Linked DNA regions of Pelodiscus sinensis. The protein of the gene in region 3 interacts with the protein of the main gene of each other region in a pairwise test. Links are inferred from orthologs where the notes say so. Each region holds a gene or a part of one and is shown on either strand. Other genes may lie near its edges.

Region 1 (8,058 bases), on a different chromosome or scaffold from region 3:
AGAGTCCATCACTAAGTTGTTAACATACTTTTGTTTATATTTCATGTACCGTGGTTGCAGGCTTATTAAATACAATTATAATTATTGAACACTGCAGCATATTACAAAGACATTGTCCTAACATTAAATTTCCCCATAAAAGGTGCTTATCCAGGTACTTTTAATATCAAAATGCCATTTTGAGTCTGGAAAAATCAGGGAAAATTAAACAGGGTTTTAGACAGTTATACTTCCATTTTTTATTCTGTTGCCAGGAAACTCTGTTGGATCCAGTTAAATTTTCAGCAAAATTTGACTAAACTGCATAATATGGATAAATTATATATTTACTTGTCAGAGATTTTAATATTTAATTAAATAAAAGACTAAACAAGTTTTCAGCTGCTGATATTATTTTAAACACAAGATTATTTACCTTTCAGCCTCAAGTTGTTTTTCCTCTTCTTCCAGTTCCTCCTCTTCAGACAATGGTTCATCTTTTTCAGTGACTTCTGAGGAAAAAGTAACACGTCCCTCTACATACAATTTTTTCTCCTGGGCTTCAATCACTGTATATAACATAAATGCTATAATATAAACCTTCAAATTAGAGCTACATTAGTTTTAAAATAGTTTCTCCTTAAATTAAAAATTTAAAATGCCATTTAATCAAAGATATGAATGTGTTAGTGCACTCTTTTTTTTTTTAATCCTAGAGATTTAAATTTAAGGTTTATTTAGAAAACCTTTAAGAAACTTCAAAAATATTTACTATACATTGTTGTAAGTCATCTGACATTGTATGTGGGAAATATTGTGCTACATGTACTTATCTTCTAAAGAAAAATTTTATATTATAAATTCCATTTTTCTGGAGCATCATTAAAATTGTGTGTGTTCTGGACCATCATAAAAGTAGGCTCATATTTTAATGTTCCTTTCTTTCTCCTAATAAGAATTAGTAATGCGTACATTGTTACAAAGTATCAAAAATAAAGGCTTAGTTGTTTACCTGAATCTCTTAACCTGGCAAGTGCTTGCCTTTTTTTCTTTCGTTTCTCTTTCTTCAGAATAGCTCTGTATTTTTTATGGCTGAAAAAGGCAAAGTATATCACCTATATTATGAAAAGTCTTCAGAACATTTTTCATTACATAGTTAAAAATAACATTTCATATTCAAATTTCAGCAACACTAATTCATAAAATCAAAGATATTAAATAACACCAAATATTCACCGATGCAGTATTTCTCAAATTGTGCTCTGCGGAGCCCCAGGGCTCCGCAAGGTTGACAAACTGGAAACATCGATAGGTACAACACATACAATCAGTGGACCGCTGGGCCTCTGCATAAATGTTTATGCACGTAAAGGGCTCCGGAGTCCAAAAAGTTTGAGAACCGCTGTATTAAAGTTTCAGATGTTGGGTTTTTTAAAAGCAGGAAAATGTGTCATCAAAACTATGTCTGGCCAATAGTAATAATCATAGTTAGGCTTAAAAAAAATAAAATAAAATAAAACAGCAGCTCATTCTCCTTGAATTCTCTGCTGTTTTTGATATTACACTGCTGATCACAGATGCTTTATGATATGTGGAGAGATGAGACTTCGCACTGACAGTTTTGAACTCTGTCCTCTCCTAGTTATTCTATCTCTCGATTATTCCTCTGGCATCCCGTTTGCTTGGTCCTCTTCCTCCTCTCTCCTGTTGTCTCATATTACTCTGTCTTTATCCACTTTCTCCTCTAAATATTGTGTGGGTGTATAAAAGCAACAGAAAATTCTCAGATCTACCTTTCCAATTCTAAATTCTTGCCAATGCCACATCTCGGCCTGTGTCTGACAACTCTAAATCAATTAGACTCTACATTTATTTCAGCCAAAACTGAATTCATAATTTCCTTTTGAAAGTCTGTCTACTTCTCCAATTTTCTGTCACTATCAATACTATTTCTAACCTTCCTCTCATTCAGGCCTGTAATGAAGTTTTGTAGCTGGAGAGACAACTCATCTCTGATGGCTCTTTTTTACTCCAAATATCCAGGCAGCATCCAAAAATGTTGCTGCTTCATCCTCCATAATACACCTACAAATCTGCAATTTTCTTTCTGCTCAGTCCGCTGAGAACTCTCCTCCCCACTCTCAAGGACTATCTCCTACAGCCATCCTCCCACACCACACACTGTTGGAAAAAAAAAAAAGCTGTCAAAATATCTTCCCCTGAACATCCATTCTAAATGCATTATCCTCTTTTTTTAATTTCTTCATTTAATCCCAGTTTCCTCACATTCAGGATTCACGCTTCCTATCCTTTCAAAGCTCTCCACAACTCTTTAGCTCAGAGATAGTCAACAGGCAGGTTGTGGGTCAAATCCGGAATGCCAAACAATGATGAACATATGCCAACACGTTTTTTTATTATCATTAACATTTGTTATTTTCTCTAGAGTCTAGACCTTTGACTATGCCTCGACCAAGACATTTGGATTCCAACAATCAATAACCCCTGTTTAGCCCCTTCTAGTCGTCAAACCGTCACGCTCTTAGTCATCAACAGCAGCAGCACCCTTGTCTACCAGGTTCTCCATCTCTGTCAAGCCCGTTTCCGTGCTTCCTGTTAGACCTCCCCGCCTCGGAGCCCATCTGCCACCCGCTGGGGGGAGAGAAGAGGGGGCCGCTCCCCAGCACAGCAGGCAGGCGAGGGGCCCGGACTAGCTGCACGGCAGATGCTGGCAGGTGTGTGCGGCGGCGGGAGGCGGGGGGGGGGGGGGGGGGCTGAGGGTGGCAGATAACGGCAGCACGGGCGGAACGAGGAGCCGTCACGACAGCGCCGCCGGACTCACCCCAGCTTCTCCGGCGCCGCCGCGGGGAGCAGCACGGGGGCCGCCATGTTGTCTACAAAGGCGCGTCACATGATACAACAGGAAGAGGATGAAGCGGCACCTTCCTTCCGCTTCCCTGGGCCGGGAGGAAGAAGGGCGCGATGGGAACTACGCATGCGCGGCAGAGCGGCTGGCTGATGTCCTCTGCGCCGTGTCCTTGCTTGAGCGCCGGGCCTGGACCCTACAGCGACCATGGCATCCGACTCCCCCCCCCCCCCACGGGAACATGTTGGCCACGCCCCCTGGCCGTGTTAGCCACGCCCCTGAGTCCTTAGTCCCGCCCCAGCTGTCACAGGAAGTCCCGCCCCAGGTCAAGATGGACACGTGACCCAGAGTAAAGGGTGTCCTGTGACCCCCTCTGCCCCAAGAGCTCCCACGGGAGTTCTCTGCTCGGTGTCCCCATTTGGTTCCCTTGTTTCGAACCCGTGACCCGCACTCCTTGAGCCTCCTGTCATTATTTGTCCACCGTAATCAGTTGGACGTGGGTCCAGTTGTCCCTCCTGTAAGGCTGGGGAGGGGCTTTTAGAACGTGGGCGGGCTTTGCCCATGGTTTTCAGATAGACCCAAGAACTCCCACCCTCCTCTACCAATAGGGATGGGTTTGGGCCACATAGGACCCTCCTCCCCGCTACACTGGGCCAAATTTCGGAAAGTCCTCCTCTTTCCCTTCCATCGTTCCCTGGATGCGGCGGTATCCCAGAAGAACCCCATAGTCTAGACATAGCCTGTTTAAAGAACTTGTTTGTTCTCCCAGTCAGCCGGAACATCCATCAGGGACATATTCATGATAGCTGCTCCATTTTTGAGCTGTTATGCCCATCTGGATGCAATTAATTCTAATCATTTACTTGATAGAGCCTCCTAGCTGGAAGAGGATGTTGAAATGGTCTGAGATCCCCTTTGTTACTCTAACACACTATCTTAGAAGTTAATCACATTTATCATCCTTGCAATTGATACAGGTACTAGTAGTCAGTTACGTGTACACAAGTTCTACACAATGCCTTCTTGGTGATTCTAGGATCACAAGGCACTCAAATAATCTAGCTTCTTGGGAAGCAGTCACAAAAGAGTTAAAGAGCATGTTTAAAAAAGCCAGACTTATTTCAGTTGAGACAAAAAACAGTACATCACTAAATCCAACAACTGAGCTATCTGTATACTCTGGTGGTCATCTCTGCAGCATTTCACCTGATGTCAGAAATCAGAAGTCCCATGTAGAACCCATCACACAAAGTTAACATGCAAGTTGCCAGATCTGTAGTTGTTTTTGCCTATGTTGAAGATCAGATGCATTTGGAAAAGCTCGCAATTCAAATCCCCTTCTGCAATAATGAATCAGTTTCATTTGCCTGAGTTTGAAATATCCATTAACATTGCAGAGTGTAAAGGAATATTAAGGCATAAACTACTGATATACATCAGTACATGGCTGTGTGCTCCTGATGTTCCCAGAACTATTGCATAAAATTCACAAAAAATACCTTCTTCAGTTGCTAGCAATGAAGCAGTGATACGTTTTATAAAGTCATACTAAATGGCTATGCTAGCCACTATTTTCTTTGTCATAGTTCAAAGGGTATGTCTACACTACCACCCTAGTTCGAACTAGGGTGGTTAATGTAGGCAACAGGAGTTGCAAATGAAGCCCGGGATTTGAATTTCCCGGGCTTCATTTGCTTATGGCCAGGCGCCGCCATTTTTAAATGTCCACTAGTTCGGACTCCGTGCCCGCGGCTACAGGCGGCTCGAACTAGGTAGTTCGGATTAGGCTTCCTATTCCGAACTACCGGTACACCTCGTACACCTAGTTCGAACTAGGGTGGTAGGGTAGACATATCCCCAGCAACTGCATCTGTATTTCTTCTCTTCTCCCACCCCTTCTCCTGGCTCCTCAGTTAACTTTCTTGGGTGGAGACTCATGTCTTTCTCCTTCCTGACTGTGGGTTCTTCCGGGCTTCAGAGTTCTCTGCCTACAGCATGATATCTCCAGCAAGATAGATGGCCTAAACAGGCCAGCATCTCTGCTTGCTTACTCTTTGAAGGCTGTTAAAAGTTGTAATTGCCAGCAGTTACAAATTACCATACAGCTATTTATAAACAAGCACATTTATTATTAAAGTGAAATTATTATAGAGAAAATATTGAAAACAGTAAAAGAACCTACACATGCTAAACAGTCTCAGAGGGGTAGCCAGGTTAGTCTGTAACTAAAACGTCTTTAAAAACAACAATGGTCCTGTAGCACCTTAGAGACTAACCAAAAAATATGCTAAACAGTTTGCCAGAGATAATGCAAACCTTCAAAATCCACGACTAGGTCAGCCCTTTGGCAACAAGTTCCTCACTGTTCAGGACTAGAACTACCATGAATAGTTTAGCCTTTCCTGCGTATAATTTGGGGTTTTCATCTTAGCTGCCAGGAATATGTAATCGGCAGACAACGATCCTCTCATCAGGACTGAATTATAAAGCAGGACTCTCTGGTCCAGCAACATCTGTGGTCCAGCAGACCCACAGATGTTCCTGCAGCAGAGCCATAGGGCTGGGAGGCTGGCAGTGGGGCTGAGGGGTCAGTGGTGGGGCCAGTAGCCCGGCGGCAAGGTGTGGGAGAGCTGTCTGCACAGCCAGGAACCCAGTGGTAGGGGGCTCAGGTGGCATGGGCAGCCCAGTGGCACAATCAGAAGCCCTATAGCAGTGAAACTCCAGCAGCGCAGGGAGCCCCATGGCACAGCCGGGAGCCCCACAATGCGGCCAGAAGCCCTGCAGCAGGAAGGTGTGGGCAGGACTGGCAGCACAGCTGGCTGGCTGCAAGGAGGATGACAGGGACCAGAAGTGGAGCCAGTAGTGAACTGGGAGGCCAGTGGCAGGGGATCTCCCCAGATCTGACAAATTTCTTTGTTTGTGATGGGTCGGGTCCCAAGGCTGCTAGACCAGGGAGGGCGAACCCATAATGAATTTGTTGTTCATTAGAAGCAGCAGATGGCAGTAGTGTGCTATCTGAGAACTAATCAACTCCTTAGATTCTCAGAAAAGTTGTAAAAGACCTAAAACAGTATCTCTCTCAATTCTGGTATCTCCTGTATAGTTATTGAGTTATAATAGTAGTCAGTATGATAAATCTCTTAACTGAAATCCCTCAGCAACAGAAAATTAGGCATAGTTGTGAACCATTCTTTTGTGCATTCTTCACAATATAATATAGATTGAACCTTCCAAATCTGGGACTCTGGTCCAGCAATATCTGTGGTCCAGAAAGGCCATGGATGTTGCTGGACTAAAGAGACCTGGGAGTGGGAGCCAGCCAGGAGAATGTGGCGTCTGCAGAGTCACGGCTGATCCAGCAGTGACTAGGGAGGGGAACCTGGCATCAATGGGGCCAGGCAGTGTTGAGAAAGCTCCGCCCCCTGCTGGAGAACCACGGATGTCAGTGGGGTTAGGCAGCAAGAGTGGCCCTGGCAGCGTGACAAGCGACATCCGGGTGGCCTCAGCTGGGGAACCCCGGGAACCCCTGGAAAGTAGTGGGGCCACACAGCAGCCTGGGATCCCCAGCCAGGGAACCACAGGTGGCAGATGGTGAATTCTGGTCCCAGCAGGGACTCCCCAGTGGCAGTGAGGCCAACCAGCCCTGGTCACGAAAGCCTAGGATACTCTGGGTAGCAGGGGGGCCAGGCCACAGCAGTGGGACCAGCAGCAACCAGGGGCCCGGGGCCAGGGCCAGGGAACCCCGAGGAACCCAAGGAGGTAGCAAGAAAAGCAACAGCTGAACGGGGCTGGCAGTGGCCAGGTGGCCCTAGCTGGGGAATCCCAGACAGGCCATGGGTTAGTGGGGCAGAATCAGGGCGGGAGCCCCAGCCTTGAGAGCCCCAAGGAGAGGAGCTGGCAGTGAAGCAGCTAGCAGTGGAGCAGCTAGCAGTCTGGCAACCTCCATGGTCCAGGTCAGCTTAGGTCCCGCGGGTGCTGGGCCAGGTAGGTCCAACCTGTACTGCACTTTTCAGTGGTTAATTTCAGCATCCATTTGTTTATTATGATCACTCATTATGTCCTTATGGAAAAATCATTCTTAAGACTTCATAACATATTTAACTGGTTCAAAAGATGACATTCTGCCCAGCACTCTCTATGTTTATATATTTTTTGGGGAAAATATAGTAGTGTAATTTTGTCCATAAAAACTGATTAGTCTCATGTAGCCAGCAGTAAAGACAATGGTCCAGTGAAAATGTGATCATCCGTCCTTGCAATGTCTGTACAATATTGCGTATATGTATCTTTCTGTGTTAAATGCTCCCCAAAACTTATTCCATACATCCCAAATAGTATGGGGATGTTGAAATAATTATTGATGCAAAAATGGACAAATATGATGTCTAGATCAGCATGTTCCATTCATGTAACTAAAATAATCTAGATTTCTAATATGATCATTCAAGTTTTATAGTACATGGGTTTTAATACACATAGTTCTTTTAGCAGCAAGTTTCCAGTGGTCTGCAGAAGTCACGTCTTCAAATTGCTTCACAATTCAAACTGAGAAAATGTATTTCTGGGGATACTTCTTTTACATCAACTTCCATAAAAAGTAATCGTACATTTTCCCCTCGATTAATATCCCACAGCTCCAAAGCTGCAACTGTAAATACATGTGAACATATTTTTGCCATGCTGTGGTGCATTCCAGACAGGGTGCATCTACACAGCAGGGCTTAACTCGAAATAAGATAATTGAGTAGCTTATTTTGAAAAAAGCGTTCTTCCTCCTAAAATGAGGTTTTCCACTGTCAAAAAAACTGCCACGTTCCTTTCATTTACTTTCAAAAGAACGCAGCAACAGGCTAGACACGAGAAGTTTTTTCGAAAAAGGCCACTTTTGTCGAAAAATCCCTGTAGTCTACACACACCCTATGTCAAAATAACTGCTGGCTGTGTAGACGCAAACTATGTTATTTCAAAATAACTCTAGTTATTCCCTCTGTGTGCTTTTCATCACCCACCCTTCCCTTTTCCTGCCCTCCTTTCCCTGCTTGGATGGGGATGTACTGGTTCCCAACTGAATGGTAGATGTCCAGTGTGATGAACTTCCACAGGGTGATGGCCACACGCTTCTGCACGGGAATGGCAGGTTGCATGTAGGTGTCCTGTCACCTGAGAGCAGATGTGAGCCACTCATAGAACTCCAGGAAGGTGGCCTTCTGCAT
Region 2 (8,287 bases), on a different chromosome or scaffold from region 3:
TGTAACAACACATTATGGAATTTCTGAGATTGCTCTTTGAAATACCTAGAAACTACACACCAAGTTAAAAGAATACCAAGGTTACAACTTTAATTCATGCAATAAGAAATTGGGAAATGTTAGTATTAAAGTTACTTGTGTAACCGTAACTTAGCTTATTTATTTTAATTACACAACCATATCCTATTTTATCCTCAAAAGCCCTGCCTCATTCAGTGCATAGTATGGCTCTGTTCTGGTGATTAATCAGGGGTTGGAGAGAAAAGTTGGGTGTTACCAGTACTTCTATTCCTACAAACCCATCTCTCAGTCACTCTATAAAGCTGGAGTACTACAGAGAAGAGTATCCTTCATTAAAGAAGTGCTTACTTTGTGGTCTTAATGAATATTCTTTCAAAGTCTATCTGTGTGTAATGTGTAACTTAAAATCCATTTCTGGTGTGTACTCTAACAAAAATCCACCTTAAAATGGACAAAGTACCATTGAGACAGAGTGCCAAACTAAAGAGATTATACGCGTCTCCTACTGTAGTCAAGTGCAAATATATGATTTTGAAATTTTGCATTTCTTTAGTAAGAATGCATGCACCCTACCAATACTGCTCTATCCTGGGCAGATTTTTTTTTTACCTCTGATAGAGACATGATGATTCTGTTTCTCATACTTATCACAACCAATTATATAGGCTTTGACAAAGTATTCTTGTATTGAATGTGGGTGCCTGTGTTAATAAGTGGGGACGAATTAAGAACAACATAGGGGTATACAAAAAACAAGAGAGTTGTTGAACTCTCTAGCAGAAAAAGGTGAAGCTTCAGGAGTTATTTCTAGAAGCAGCTACTACCAAAAGCTATATGCATACAAGCCGTAGAAGCACTTCACTGGTATTTTAGAGACCTAGGTTAAATATATTCAATACCCAGTTCAACCAGACTTTGGGAAAGTCACTCAATCCACTCCATGCCTTAACTTCCCATCTGTAGAGGGGTGGTAACATCCACTTCATACAGATGTCGAAACATAATACAAATTAATGATTGTGAAATGCTCAAAACAATGAAGAAAACTATGTTAACAACCTAAACAGATTTCTCTTGCTAAAGACACTAGCTCCTTGTTATTTGGTGAAAATGACACTTTTCTGGCACTTTAAATAGGATTTTCCATATACAAATGAAAACATTCATGTTTTACTGTATTCCAATAATAAAAACCTATCAACTTGAATCTCTGTGCATCCACTAGTTTTCCTCTACACTACAAATTCTTATTCAAAATTGCATTGAAATGGGGTTCAGATTGCCAGTGTTCATTTGAGGATGCCAAAACCACACACACACACTAAAAAATCCTGTGTTAGAATATATACACATCTATCTAGGATACCTGGAGGATTTGTGGGGGGGAGAGAGAGATGTGGCACAAAGGAAAGTCGCTTTTGCAGTTAATTTTCTTCCCCCCCTCCCCCCCGAACAGCAACTATTTGAAAGTAGGTGAAAAAATGGGTATATTAGAAACCATCTGAGGGAGAGTAATGAGCAGGCACAGTCAAAATCTTTTTATATGAAAATAAAGGCAATCCTGCTTCACAAATAAAAAAAAGGAACAGAAACAGATGGCATGCTGTTTTCAGTTCTTGTATCACAATAAATTAAAAAACTGTAATTATTTAAAAGCTCTCTGAGCATGGATTACAATTTGTGAGTTCAGCAGATCTGATGTGCGTTAAAATAATCATTATGTATATGCATATTTTTGTTAAATATTTGTAAAAACTTATACCTTGTCATAAGCTCTATTTTTCTGTCTAGACATTTCTAAATAGTTGAAACCCTTTAAAAAAAAAACTGCAATCCATTGGAAGCAGATTGGGTGGGGGCATCATTCTCAGTAATGCAAAGCACTGTTTGCTGGTTTTAATTTTTACGAGACTTTAACCCAATAACTGGTTTAAGATTTACTGCCCACCTTGCACTTTCTGTGTGTTAGGGAGAGAAAAAAAATCAATTTGTGAAAAGGGGAAAACAAAAGCTATTTTTGTAGTAACTGCTCGTTAATGGAAACTATCCAACAGGTGAGCGGTGACTCCGTAAGAGAGCAATCCCACCACACGTAGCTCAACACCTGGAGGCTCCGGGGCAGTCGGCGATGCAAGAGGACGTGCATTTAGCCGGGATAACTGCCCATAGGCTCAGGGCCCTCCCTCACACATGCTTTGAAAATTGCTCCGGGAACGAGTGCCCGGCCGTGAGGTAACCCGGCACGTTGCGGGCCGAGGAGGAGCCATGTGAGACAGGCGGGATACGACACTTCCCCCCTCCCCCACACCGCTAACTCTCCCTTTCGGAGGTCTACACTAGCGAGGTGCTGAGGCAGGCTCTGGGGGTTATCACAGCTCCGCGGGGAAGCCCGATCCCGCCGCACCGCCGGCCGAGGCCTGAAGATGGCGAGCTAGGCCCCAGGGCCTGACACTCTCAGCGTGCCTCGGCAGACGGCAGCGAAGCGCGGGGCGGGATGGGAAAGAGGCGGGACGTTGAGTGGGGGAGGGGACGCGAGTATGGCGCGGGGGAGGAAGGGGCCCGCTCCCGCTGGCGGACTCACTCGGGAGGAAAAAGGCGCAGCTCCTCGATCTTGCCCAGGAAGCCGAAGAGTGTCCGCATCTGCTCGGAGCTGGCGCTAGGAGAGACATTGGTGACCTGGATCACGTCGGTGCCGCTGCTTGAAGACATCGCGCTGCCTCCCACTCCAGTGCTACAAACACATCAGGGAAGGGGAAGAGCGCGTTAGGAACCGGGTAGCGTTTTGCTGTGTCCCCTGCCGCTACCCGTCCGGGCACAACCACGGGCCTCGCGCACAAAACAACCGTTGTGGAGTAATAACTGCCACCAGCTGCCCGCTCCAGCAGCCTGCCCGGGCCGTAACTAGTATCCCACAATCCTTTACTGCTCTTCTCTACGCAAGCGCGATCCGCGTACTTCGATGATCTTGCGCAGACGCACAACTCGCCTCGCCCACAGACGCCCCATTTGCGCATGTCCACTGCCTGTACCTCTCCCAAGGACTTGCAGCTATTGCACATGCAGTCAACCATGTCGTGCAGCTCTCGCGCATGCGACATGTTCGCGCCATGGCTATGGAAATACCCGCGCATGTGCAGTATGGGCTGCTGCACTGGGGACTTAGCAGGAGAGGCGTCTGGGCCTGAGGGCCGTTATCCCTGTTTCCTCCTCCGGGCTCGTGACTGAATCCTCGCGGGGCGGAGAAAATTCAGGCAGAGGGGCCAGTCTGGGGCTTGCCTGCGGCTAGAGCGCTCTGAGCTGACGCCTGCCTGAGCGCCCCCTTCTAGGGGCCTAGAGCTGCAGGGCGCTTCCTCTGAATCGCCAGGGCCTGAATCTGCCAGGCGCAGAGCCGCCCCTTTCTCCAGATGGCTCTGAGGGCACCCAGGGAGCTCAGCAGCTGGCAAAGCCTGTTCCTAAGGCCAGGTCTAGGGAAGTAAGAGAGTAGTCGAGAGAACTACTCCCTCCTCTCCCGTCCCCTTGCTGCCCTCTATATCAGAGGCAGCAGGGGGACAGGAGCCGGCTGGTTTCCCCCCCCCCAGCATTGTCTCCATGGTGCTGCCCCCACGCGGAAAGGCAGCAGCCTCTGTTTGTGGCGGCTCAGGTTGGGTACAGGCAGGGACTACTGGACCCAGCAAAAGTTGAGACTGAGCAAACCTGGCTCAGTTCTAGCTTGTGCCAGTTGCAGTCCTAACCTCACTGTGGCTTTGCAATTTAAATGTTGTATGAGCTGGGCTACCTGCACGCCTGGCTCCTACTACATTTAAACTGCAGAGCTGCAGTGGGGATAGCTCCTGGACCAGTGCGAGCTGGTACAGAGTGCCTTCTCTTATCAACTAATCATGTAGCCGTTTGTATCAACTAAATGATTAGTCAGATACCTGCCTCTTAACATCTTTAGTCAATACTAGACTTGAAGGTCAGCTTAAGATACTCAACTCTAGCTGTTTAAATAATGTAGCTGGAGTCCATACTTCTTAAGCTGAGCTTGGCACTATCTTCACAGTGGGAGGTTGACAGGAACAAATGCTCCCATCGGCTTCTCTTACTCCTTGCGACTGAGGAGTACTGGTGCTGACTGAGGGCACGCTCAGCATTCAGTTTAGCAGGTCTTCACTAGACTCACTAAATTGAATGCCAGAAGATGATCTCGGGTGCGACAGTACCTGAATAACAATTTCCCATTAATTTTTCAGTTCCAGAGTAATTCCTTTCTAACATGTATGTTGAAAACAAAATAAATCTGCAACCTGATTTTGCTGTAAGTGAAGTTAATGTAACAAATAAGATTTGCCAACCCCCCCCCCCCCCCCCATATCCATTAACATCAAGGGGTTATGTTAGTAAATGCACTAGAAGCATCCAGACAGAGAAGCAGCTTCTTCAGTATAGGTTGGACCTCCCTGGTTCTGTTCCCTTGGGACCTGATCAGTTGCAAAGTAGTTGGTTGGACTAGGGGAGGTCAATCCTGGCCATCGGCCCCAGCTGCTGGCCATGTTTCCTAACCCCTTGTTGCTGGCCCCAGAGCGCTCAACAGGAGTAAGTATTACCTAGATCCTTGACAGATGTTGGCTACGTCTACATTGGCCCCTTCTCCGGAAGAGGCATGTTAATTTCAAACTTCAGTATAGGAAAATCCGCGGGGGATTTAAATAAACATGGCCGCCGCTTTTTTCCGGCTTGGGGAAAAGCTGGAAAAAAGCGTCTAGACTGGCCCGATCCTCCGGAATAAAGCCCTATTCCGGAGGATCTTATTCCTACTTTCAGGAATATTTATTTAATATGTTTATTTAAATCCCGCAGGGGATATTTAAATCCCCTGCGGATTTCCCTATTCTGAAGTTTGAAATTAACATGCCTCTTCCGGAGAAGGGGCCAATTTAGACGTAGCCGTTCTGTCTAAACTGCGCTTAAAAATCGCAAATGATGAAGATTCTACAACCTTCCTAGGGAATTTATTCCAGTGTTTAACCATCCTGACAAGAAGTTTTTCCTGCTGTCCAACCTAAACCACCCTTGCTGCAATTTTAGTCCATTGCTTCTTGTGCTGTATGCATAGTTTCAGGAATATTTTTTTCTTCCTTCTGTAACGTTCTTTTATGTATTTGAAAACTATTATGTTCCCCCTCAGTCTTCTCCAGACGAAACAAACACAGTTTTTTCCCCCATCTTCCCTAATGGGTTATGTTTTTTAGACCTTTAATCTTTTTTTGTTACTCTTTTCAGGAGTTTCTGAAATTTGTCCATATTTTCTTGAAATGTGGTGCCCGGAACTGGACACAATACTTCAGTCAGGCCTAATCAACATGGGGTAGAATTAAGAATTCTGGTATCTTCCTTACAATACTCCTCTCTAATACATCCCAGAATGCTGCTGGGTTTTTTTTGGGGGGGGGGGGGTTGCATTTTTTAGCTTGTAACGAAATGGGCTCATCGAGCCTATGAAATCTTATGCCCAAATAAATCAGAGAGACAGTTTTATGAATGGCCAGTTTTCAGAGTCATGCATGTTGCTCTCAATGAGGTACCCTTGCATTCCATGTGCTAGCCTGTAACACTCCCTTCCCATCCTTCAATACAAGCAGGGCTCGTCTACATTGGCCCCTTTTCCGGAAGGGGCATGTTAATTTCAGCCATCGTAGTAGGGAAATGCGCGGGGGATTTAAATATCCCCCGCGGCATTTAAATAAAAATGTCCGCCGCTTTTTTCCGGCTTTTAGAAAAGCCTGAAAAGAGCGTCTACACTGGCCCCGATCCTCCGGAAAAAGCGCCCTTTTCTGGAGGATCTTATTCCTACTTCAAACTTTGACAATTTGAGAGACTCGTGTGGCTGCCCTTGACTCTCCTCCCTCTACATTCTAGGCACTCTGATAGAGGATGCTATGGAACTCTGGGAGGAGGGAACATAGATCTGCAAGGCCGTAAGGGGTGCCTGTACAGGAAGGAGTCCTGGAGTGACACCATGCAGTCCATCACATTTGCCATGGATGACAGCACTCCCTCCTAGTGCTTCACTTCCCGTTTCCTGAACGCTCTCCTTGCCTGATGCTTTGTGTGCAGTTCCTCCAGCAAGCATATTCCTCCACTTGCTTATGTGCTCCTTGTCCAAGTTGTCAGATTGCATTTGCTTCCTTGAACATCTCTTCCCTAGTCTGTTTGCACCTGCACATTTGTGCCAAGCAGGCAGCTGGCAGGTCTGGGGAAATGCGCAGCTGTTAATATTGGTTCCTTTATATGTTACAAAGGAACTATTAACTCAGTTGGGATATTTAAACTGTTTGGGCATGGGTTTGCCATTTTGTTTGTGTTTAAAACAACAGGTGAACCTCCATTTTGGACAGACTTCTTCCTTGACCAGGGAACAGAATGGGAAGATATCACTAGGCAATGATAGTCCATAAATACTGGGCACTCAGGGTGCTTTGGATGCTCTTTTTCTTTTCCCTGTGACTTCACTGAGAGGTTGTGGTGAGTGCTGCCTCCCTGAGTCACAGGCCTTATAAGCAAAGTGCAGGACAATGTAGCACTTTCAAGACTAACAAGATGGTTTATTAGATGATGAGCTTTCGTGGGCCAGACCCTCTTCCTCAGATCAAATAGTGGAAGAAAATAGTCACAACCATATATACCAAAGAATACAATTAAAAAAATGAACACATATGAAAAGGACAAATCACATTTCAGAACAGGAGGGGGATGCGGAGGAGGAGGGGGAGGAAGGAAGGTAAGTGTCTGTGAATTGATGATATTAGAGGTGGGGAGAGTGGGATGTCTGTGAGCTAATGGTATTAGAGGTGATAATTGGGGAAGCTATCTTGGTAATGGGTAAGATAGTTTGAGCATTTGTTCATTCCTTCTCGGAGAGTGTCGAATTTTAACATGAATGACAGTTCAGAGGATTCCCTTTCAAGTGCAGATGTAAAAGGTCTTTGTAGCAGAATGCAGGTGGTTAAGTCATTGAGAGAGTGTCCTTTCTGGTTAAAATGGCAAGAAACTGTTTTTTCTATATCCTTTGGTATATATGGTTGTGACTATTTTCTTCCACTATTTGATCTGAGGAAGTGGGTCTGGCCCATGAAAGCTCATCATCTAATAAACCATCTTGTTAGTCTTTAAAGTGCTACATTGTCCTGCATTTTGCTTCAGCTACCCCAGACTAACACGGTTACATTTCTATCACAGACCTTATAAGGTTTTAGTCAGTGGCATGGAGTGACAACTTGTTAGCCTAGTTGGGTAACAGCTGATAGTGTGTCTATTCATTGGGAAACAGACCTGCAGTCATGGATCACTTCAGTTAGGGTATGTCTACCCTGCAGAGTTTTTCTGGGAAAAACTACACTTACGTCCACACTGCAATTGTGTTTTTTTCGCAGAAAGTCGAAAGAACGCAGTGGTTTTTCAGACAGCAGTAAACCTTTTTCTGTGAGGAAGAAACCTTTTTCCGAAAGAGCTCTTTCGGGAAAAAGCGTGTATGGACAGGCAAGAGGGGTTTTTTTTCCCCCCCAAAGAAGAGGCCTCCAGGAAAAAGCACAGGTGCCCTAGTGGCCTCTCCGTCCATAGTAATCACAACTTGAATGCGAGATAGCGTCCACAATGATTGGTCGCTATCTTTTGAAAAAGCAGATCGCTTTTTCGATGCACTTTTGCTGTGTGGACGCTCTCTTTTTAAAGACGTTTTTCCAGAAGATCTCTTCCAGAAAAGCTTCTTCTGAAAGAAGCCTGCAGTCTAGACATAGCCTTTGTGTGAGTTCTAAGTCAGAAGCTGGAGGAAACAAGATGATATGGAATTACCATGCCTTCAAGAAATATTGGCAATGGGAATGCACTTGGCCTTGAAGTATGGATCAGTACTGATCATGAGTAGATAAAGAAATGTATGTTTAGTTGTGGTCAGGGTATTTTTCTTTATTTTCTGCTTTGTTAAACTTCTCTGAGTGAAATCCATGTGCCTCCCTCCCCCCATTCACTGTACGTAAGCTGTCCCAGAGATACCATTTTTTCTTTTAATCTGCTCTTTTCTCAGTTGCTCTGTGACACCTAGCAACCAAGTATATCTTTTTGTTTTGTTAATAAAATCACCTTTTTAAAGACAATGATGTGATTCTTGTGTATGGAAGATAACAGGTCTATGTGTGTGCCTGTCTAGGCTGAGAGGTCAGCTTCTAGAGATTGCAATATGTTTTCTGTTTTCTTTTTCAAGCTCTCTTGTAGTAAAAGAGCTTGGTGT
Region 3 (7,443 bases):
GACACAATACTGGGCAAGATGGAGCATTGGCCTGAGCCAATGTGGCCTGAACTTAGGTTAAGCAGTGATTTTTAAAATGCCCTATAGATCCCAAGAGTGGTAACTCTGTGCTAGAGCATGTGGACCAGGGGCTGGAATGAAATATTAACAAAAGGGAAATGGCACAGACTTGTCAGTGTCCAAGATGAATTGAGTGCTAAAAGCAATCAGCTTTGGGGGTTGTGGAGATTCTTAGAGGAAATTTGTGGTGTTATTAGCAGCTGATAAGTAGAGATGAATGGGACCCCTACAGTTATACAAACCTGATCCTGTAGCACAAGACCACCACTGTAGACTGAGAGCACAAGATAACCCAGCTGGAACTGTGGCATGATGCACAGCAACTTTCTTCAGGAGCTGCCATGGAATGCTCTTGGTGGGGGCTGAGGACATTTTTAATGGACTTTTAAAGTTACATGAGCGACGCAAAGTAGCGTGTATTCCCTCCCCCTCCCCCACAAAGAGAGAGACTGAAACATCCTGTGATGAATAGGTAATAGCTATGCTGCACCCAAAAGAGAGGAGCATGACAGGATATGTGCATGTTCTTTGTCTTATAGACCCTGTCGAAGTGAACCCTTTCCTGTGATGATCCCTATATAGAATTGGAAAACCAGGCTGCAGAATTCCCTAGCATGGATCTCATCAACTCTACATGATGGCTTAGAAATCCTGGAGAAATGTCAGTCTTCTCAGTTATATTTTTAGAGTAATATCTATATAGGAACCTATTTAATGTTTATAAAAAACCCTATTGGATTCCTTCTGATTACAGTTAATACTGGAAGATCCGTCTTTGTAACAATGTATGGCTGCAGAACACATACTCTGTAATTGTCAGTCAGTCATGTACATGCATTCAGGTTCATGCCTCTTGGCTTCAGAAATGCAGATTTCCACCCAGAGAACTAAACAAGAACAGTTAAGTAGGTCACCCAATAAAGATGATCTTTATATGCAGACAGGTGTGAGTCTTCTCCAGTAGAGGGCACAGAGTGGTTGTATACTCACAAGCCCTGTGTCAGAAAACAAAGGAGCCCAGTTACAGCGTGTTTTCTTGAAATGACTCATTTTTTTTACTAATTGTCATAATCATAACCATTCTAGTGTGTTTCTCTGCCCTGACACAGGAGGTCTCTCCATCCATAACGCTCATAACATCCGGAAATATCATCTTTTAAGGCAATCGGGCAGTGCCTAGATGTTCCAGGGTGGATCCAGGACCCCGTTGTGCTAGATGCTACCCATGCACTTTATTGACACTCCCTTCCCAGATGCTTTACAACCAGTGTTCTTTCTGCTGCATCATGTAAGGGGTTAAAAGTGGGCCTGCTCTCACCAGACCCCACAGCTCCTGGTCACATACCTCTCCACAGCTTGCCTAATTCTTAAACCTGTCTTCATTCCTTCAGCAAGTTTTTACTCTCCCCTCTCCTTTACCCAGGCCAAATTCAATGTTTTGTTTTTTTCAGGCTAGTGTAAGCTGCTGGCTTGAAGGGTGAACTGTTCTTTAGTGCCTGATGCCCAAGAACTTGCTTTTGCCACCAGCTCCTTGGGAAGCTCTTTTAGCTCTTCAGAAACAGAGTTCTCTGCTTTTAGCATTAAAGGGCGGAGTCCTATTCCCTGCCTTCAACCACTAATGTAATTGAGGAGCAGATCTCAAAGAGCTTTACAAAGGTCAGTATCATTTTTATGTGTATCTTCCAGGTGAGGAAACAGCCCAGAGAGTTAACCACTTGCCCAAGGTCACCCTACAGACCAGAGTCAGAGCTAGGAATAGAACCCAGGGGTCCAGAGTTCTGTTCTCTAGTCTAGACCACAGTGCCTCCCAATGACAAAAGGGTCATTGCACAAGGCTTTGTGAAGTGCTGCATCAGATCTTTAAAATCTAGATCTGTGATATCTATAGCACTCTCTTCATCTCCTGGTGTTCTGCTTCTCCAAAAAAAGTGATCTGGTTTCTCTAGTGTGATTTTGGTTTTTTATAAATGCATACTGCTTATTGTTCCTGGTTCTATTATCTGCTACTTGCTTACATAAATGTTTTGTGCAAGATTCCAAGGTACAATATATATAGTCTCATTCATTCAAGGTCAGCTGCTTTTACTTGTACTTCAAAGTATCAGGCACAAGGAGTAATTTTTCTAAAGATTTTTTTTCATTCTATTCAGTACAAAGAGGCACACAATTCAGCATGTCCAACTGGCATCAAAGAGCTGCCCCCAACTTGTATCATTGCATGTGGCATTGATCTAGATAATGAAACTGTGTAGAGACAGGAATGCGTTCTACATCTGATTCCTAGGGTGCCACCTGTCCATATATGATGGCATACTGGTTAGAGCCCAAGGGGAGCTGTATCCCCTATGGAGTCAGAACAAAGTGTCACACCAGGGGTGCAGAAATAATGTGCATACTGAGGGTGCAAAGAGCCACTGAACCCAAACTGCAAACCTTGTGTATGTTGGAAAACACTTCAAGGTTGGAGTGCCAGTGCACACTGGGTTCCAGCACCTATGTATCTCATTGAATGACTTTCACTCATGACTTTCTCTGGTCTCTGGCTGTTTCCCAAACCTGGTTCCATTGGTATTCAGAGACTTTGGTGTCTCTTTAGGGTAGCCAGATAATGCAGGGCAAGTGAATTCTAGGACATCTGATTATAGGCAACAAACATAGGAGGAAGACTCTACAATCATGTCTGCACTGATCTACTTCTGGTGCCACTCCATTGTTGGTTGCAATAATGGAAGTGCCATTGTTTGTAAGCAGCCTTTGCTATTTTTGCCTCCATGATGTCTGGATTATTCTGGCTCCAAATCTATCCAATAGGGACTGGTAAATCAAGCTGATGATGTTCTAAAAGCTCAGTGATCCACTTGTACACTGGAACTTTTCCCTGCCAGTCTCTCAGCTAGTGTAAACTGGTGTGGCTCCACTGACCTTTAATGGAGAGGAGAGCTTTCCTTGTAGCCACATACAATGCAAACCTACAGCCTTGCCACAAACTGAGGCCCTGTACTGCTGTCATGGACTATCAGGTAGGAAACTCCTCTTTAAGATCAGAAGGCGAGGGGCTCCTGCAGACCTGGATAGAGCACTACTGTCAGGTCACTCTTCCTCAAGGAGTGCACTGACTATCCAGCATGATGTTTACAGCAACCCTTTCCTAAGGGTTGTTCAGTAGCAGTTTGCAGGTGAAGAAAACCTGATGGGACAGGTCTCTGGGATTTCTTGTTTTCCAGGTAGATTCTACAGTCTGAACCCTTCTTTCTCAGCCACTCCCCTGAGAGCTGGGACCTGCCCACTGCCAAGCCTACTCTCTGCATCAGCCAGATAGGGTCACTTGATGACCTCACAGGGCTGTCGCTGCTTTCAAGGGCAGATGGCTCTGCTTGCCCCATGGGACTGATTGGCTCTGAGGCTTTATTCTGTTCATGTAGAACTGCAGCTGCTGGGCAGCAGCCAAGATGTGCTCCACTAGAGCAAAAGCAAGTCCCCCGCCCTGAAGAGTTTACAGTCTGTGGGGTGGAGAGCATGGTTAAAGGGCAGAGGAGAGAGAGGAGCAGGCCTTGTGAGCTGGATTCATAGTGTGCAGAAGTTGTTTGAATAGCTGGATGGGGCTGGTGGTGTCGCATAGGTGTTGGCACAAAGGCTGGGATATCAGCACAACCCCCATGGGGAGCATCAGGCTGGAGGTGCTGGAAGAAGGGAAGCAAAGATGTGGACAGAAGCATGAGTGGGCCAAGAGAGGTCTGGCAGGTATTTAGATGGCAGGTGGGGAGGTTCAGAAGGAGAATTCACATGACCAGTATGGGCATTCTGAATTGGAGGAGGAGGAGGAAGTTGGAATAATTAAGATGACAGGAATTCACAGCACACAGGAACTGTGGCCCTGAGTTCAAGAGGGTCACACACTCTCCCCAGGAGAAAAGCAGAGCTGACCACCCCGGGCTCCCCGGGGAAGGTTTGGGCAAGGATAATCCCCTCCTCCTGGCTGCTAGCTAATGCAGCAGCTGTCGGCCCCTCCAGAGACCAGCAGGATTTCTGCCCCATCCCTTGTTATGCCCGGAGCCATCTACCCATTTTCTGCCTGAACTCCCCGCTGGAACCAACCTCTCCATTTCTGAGCAACTCTTCTTTCCCACCCAAATCCCCGCCTCTACCGCCCCCTGCCTTGGGCTTCTCGGACGGCCGGGGGCTGGACTTTCTTGGCCTGCCGGGCAGCCTCGTGGGGCCCAGAGCGGGGTGCTTGGCACTGTCGGCTGGGCGGACGTCAGGGCAGTGTCCTGAGGGCTGGGGGCAATGTCAGGCAGAGCAGGTGGCGAAGGCTTCTCCTGCCAGGTCTCCTGGCCGGCCCTGCAAGCGGGGCGCAGCGTGGGGAAGGGCTGCACACCGCCTCTAGCCCGGGCCGCGCTGGCATGAGTTCCCCTCCGAGGCGCCGTGTCCCTGGGGCTGGCGAACGCGTGTGAGGCTTGGCAGCTGCCCGGGGCTGTGGGGCTAGGGGCTTTGATCTCGCCCAGGGCGCGGCGAAGCCAGCGCTGGGCCACGGTGGCAGCCGGCACACGCGGCCTCCTCCCCGCGCCCTGCCGCCTTTTGTGATGCAGATGCAGCCGGGGAAGGCGGGGGGGATGGCCAGCCCCTCTTCCAACGTCACGTTGTGAATGAGACAAAACAGGAGCCTGGCTCGGGCTCGCAGACACACTCCTCTCCCGCTCCCTCCCCCTTGCGCGCCGGCGCCGCCGGGCTCCGAGGCGCCCCGAGCGAGCGCAGGGCGGCTGGAGGCCGGGCGGGGGTTTCAGCACCGCGGAGAGCTCCCCGCGGCGGGCGGGCCGGCCCCGGGCATGGCCAGCGTGCAGCAGGGCGAGAAGCAGCTCTTCGAGAAGTTCTGGCGAGGCACCTTCAAAGCCGTGGCCACGCCGAGACCCGAGAGCATCATCGTGGCCAGCATCACCGCCCGCAAGCCGCCGCCGAGGTAAGGGCTCCGCCGCGCCCTGCGCCTGAGCCGCTAGGACGCAGGTCACCGCTCTGTAGGAAACTTTTCCTAGACTCCGCGCGCGGGTGCCCGCGAGCGCTCGGGTTCCCTAGCCGGGCTCCAAGGGCAGCCAGGCATGGAAACTAAGCCAGCATCTCCCTCCTGCTGCGGGGTCCGCAGGGGCCTGTTTCTAGGTCACGGTCCGCCTGCAGGGGAGTTGGTTAGCGGCCGCAGGGAGTCCTATAGTTGGAAGGGGCTAGTCACAGCCGTGGCTTGAAAGAAAGGTCCCGGGAGAAATAACATCCAGGCGCTGAACTGAGGGCAGAAAGGAGAGGGAACCAGGAAAGACGGACCAGGTACAATGTAGTAGCACTCACTGACAGGGTCAAAGTCTGATCATTTCAAGATTAACTCTGAACAAAGCCCTGCCCTGATATTTCCTGGCTATGTATAGCGGCCACTGGGTGGATTTGAACTTGGGATCTTTGGAGCTTAGTGTAGGAATCTCTACAAAGCCTGCACATCCTTAGCCCTTCCAGAACTGCTCCAAGCTCCCGCAAAGAGCCTAGCAGCTTTGATTTCCAAGGAGAAACACTGCTGGGTGAATGCTGCAGAACTGGTGATGTACCCAGTAATCTCCTTTTGGGCACACCTTTCTTCTCAGGGCAAGTACACAAGCAAGCACAACTGTTCAGGGAAATGTGCACAGAATGCCAACGCATCACACACGTTCCTTGCAAATCCATATTCCCGTGGGGAATAGCCTAGAGCCCTTACCTTGTGCTTTTAGGAGGCATCCCATAAGTAAACTTCAGTAATAACATGTGACCCAGCTGACCAGTACCCTAGTACCACCAGCAAATATTCAGAGTAGTGGTCCCCGTGAAGCAGGAATATGTTTGCATAGCCTATTTGTTGGGGGAGAGGGAGAAACCTCTACATTTCTTGTGTCCCAGTGGTTCTCAATCTTTCCAGATAACTGAACCCCTTTCTGGGAGTCTGGTTTTCCTCTGCTCCCCCCAAGTTTCCCCTCACTTAAAAAGTACCGGCGTATGAAATCAGACATAAGATTACAACAGTGTCATGGCACACTGTTCCTGAAAACTTGCTTTTCTTTTTTATACCATGTAATTGTAAAATAAATCAACTGAAATTATTGTGCTTACATTTCTGTGTATAGAGCAGTATAAACAAGTCATTACCTGAATTTTAGCTTCTAATGACTTCACTGATGATTTTCTGTAGCCTGTTCTAAAACTAGCCAACTATCTAGATGAGTTGATGTATCCCCTGGAAGATCTCTACATAGCTCCCTGGATGCATGGTCCCTCAGTTGAAAACCACTTGTGTACACCATTCCTTGCAAACCAGGTGACTTAGCTCTAATTTTGAGTTTATGCTAAAATGTCCCTGTAAATGTTGTAATCAATAACTTAGTGAATTGTAGCAGGGAGGTGGGGGGGGTTGTTTGTTTGTTTGTTTTTGTATGGAGGTGGGGTTGTTTGTTTTGGGTTTTTTTAGAATGACTACTAATGAGAATAGGCAGGTGCATCCTAGAAATACCCAAATCTGTGAAGCTAGCATTGTTAAGACTTGCTACATCCTGGGGCTAAATCTTAAGGTGGCAGGCCTCAATATCTTACTATCTGCCTCTGATACCATAGAGAACATCTGAGAGATGATACTTGAAACATCTGATGATGATATTGTATTTAGTAATTATGGAACACACTGGTCTATAACTGTCTAAGAACCATTAGCGAGACCAATATTTTACTTGACATCTATGTTTGTTCCTCTTTATTCTTGGCAAGAGTTGAAGTGTCTAGGAAGGTTAAAACAGAGAAATGATGGCTCTTTACTTAGTCTTTTGTGCTTTTGAATTGATATTAGCATTCAAACAAATAATTGGTGTAGGTATCTATCCGTAAGTCCTCAGAGGATTTCTCATAAAAATCAATCAAAATACAGGGCCACCAGGATAAAAAGACTGAATAAAATAACTTTTAAGAACCATGAAAAGAGAAAATGTTTCTTTGCTTTGAACTAGGAGCACAGTATAGTGTGTTAAGGTCAGGGTTTCTCATTTTCTTGGGTTGCTGCCATTAATTTCATCCTTTGATGACTGAGGAATACTGCGAGTTGCATTCAGTTCTTAACAGAAGAAAATGATTGGATTGTATACTATCCTGGAATTTTACAGCAGCTTACCCCAGAACCTCTCTCTTCATTGTTGTGCCTACAGCTATTCAGTCTGTCCTATAAGCAATTTTAAAACCTTTGGCATAGAGTTAGGTTTTCTTTTTTTTAACCTCTTCCCACCTTGACAATCTAGAAGTCAGATCCTCAATTAATACAGATCATTGCAATTCAACTGAAGTTAACAGATCTGTGCTGGCTTACATCTGCTAAAGATTTGGCTTTAGATA

What was found.
Region 1: the proteins of SRRM4 (region 3) and ZRSR2 interact in binary tests that used the Homo sapiens proteins (3 or more experiments, as listed by UniProt). The link is inferred for Pelodiscus sinensis from reciprocal best matches to the Homo sapiens genes SRRM4 and ZRSR2.
Region 2: the proteins of SRRM4 (region 3) and SRSF11 interact in binary tests that used the Homo sapiens proteins (3 or more experiments, as listed by UniProt). The link is inferred for Pelodiscus sinensis from reciprocal best matches to the Homo sapiens genes SRRM4 and SRSF11.

The regions. Positions count from the first base shown.
Region 1 is NC_134711.1:211,583,793-211,591,850, forward strand, and holds the start of ZRSR2 (U2 small nuclear ribonucleoprotein auxiliary factor 35 kDa subunit-related protein 2), read right to left. Parts: upstream 3,045-8,058; 5' UTR 2,869-3,044; coding exon 2,822-2,868; intron 1,072-2,821; coding exon 992-1,071; intron 549-991; coding exon 416-548; intron 1-415. UniProt on the Homo sapiens protein: Pre-mRNA-binding protein required for splicing of both U2- and U12-type introns. Selectively interacts with the 3'-splice site of U2- and U12-type pre-mRNAs and promotes different steps in U2 and U12 intron splicing.
Region 2 is NC_134719.1:20,887,486-20,895,772, reverse strand, and holds the start of SRSF11 (serine/arginine-rich splicing factor 11), read right to left. Parts: upstream 3,035-8,287; 5' UTR 2,731-3,034; coding exon 2,603-2,730; intron 1-2,602. UniProt on the Homo sapiens protein: May function in pre-mRNA splicing.
Region 3 is NC_134725.1:10,306,771-10,314,213, reverse strand, and holds the start of SRRM4 (serine/arginine repetitive matrix protein 4), read left to right. Parts: upstream 1-4,391; 5' UTR 4,392-4,703; coding exon 4,704-5,014; intron 5,015-7,443. UniProt on the Homo sapiens protein: Splicing factor specifically required for neural cell differentiation.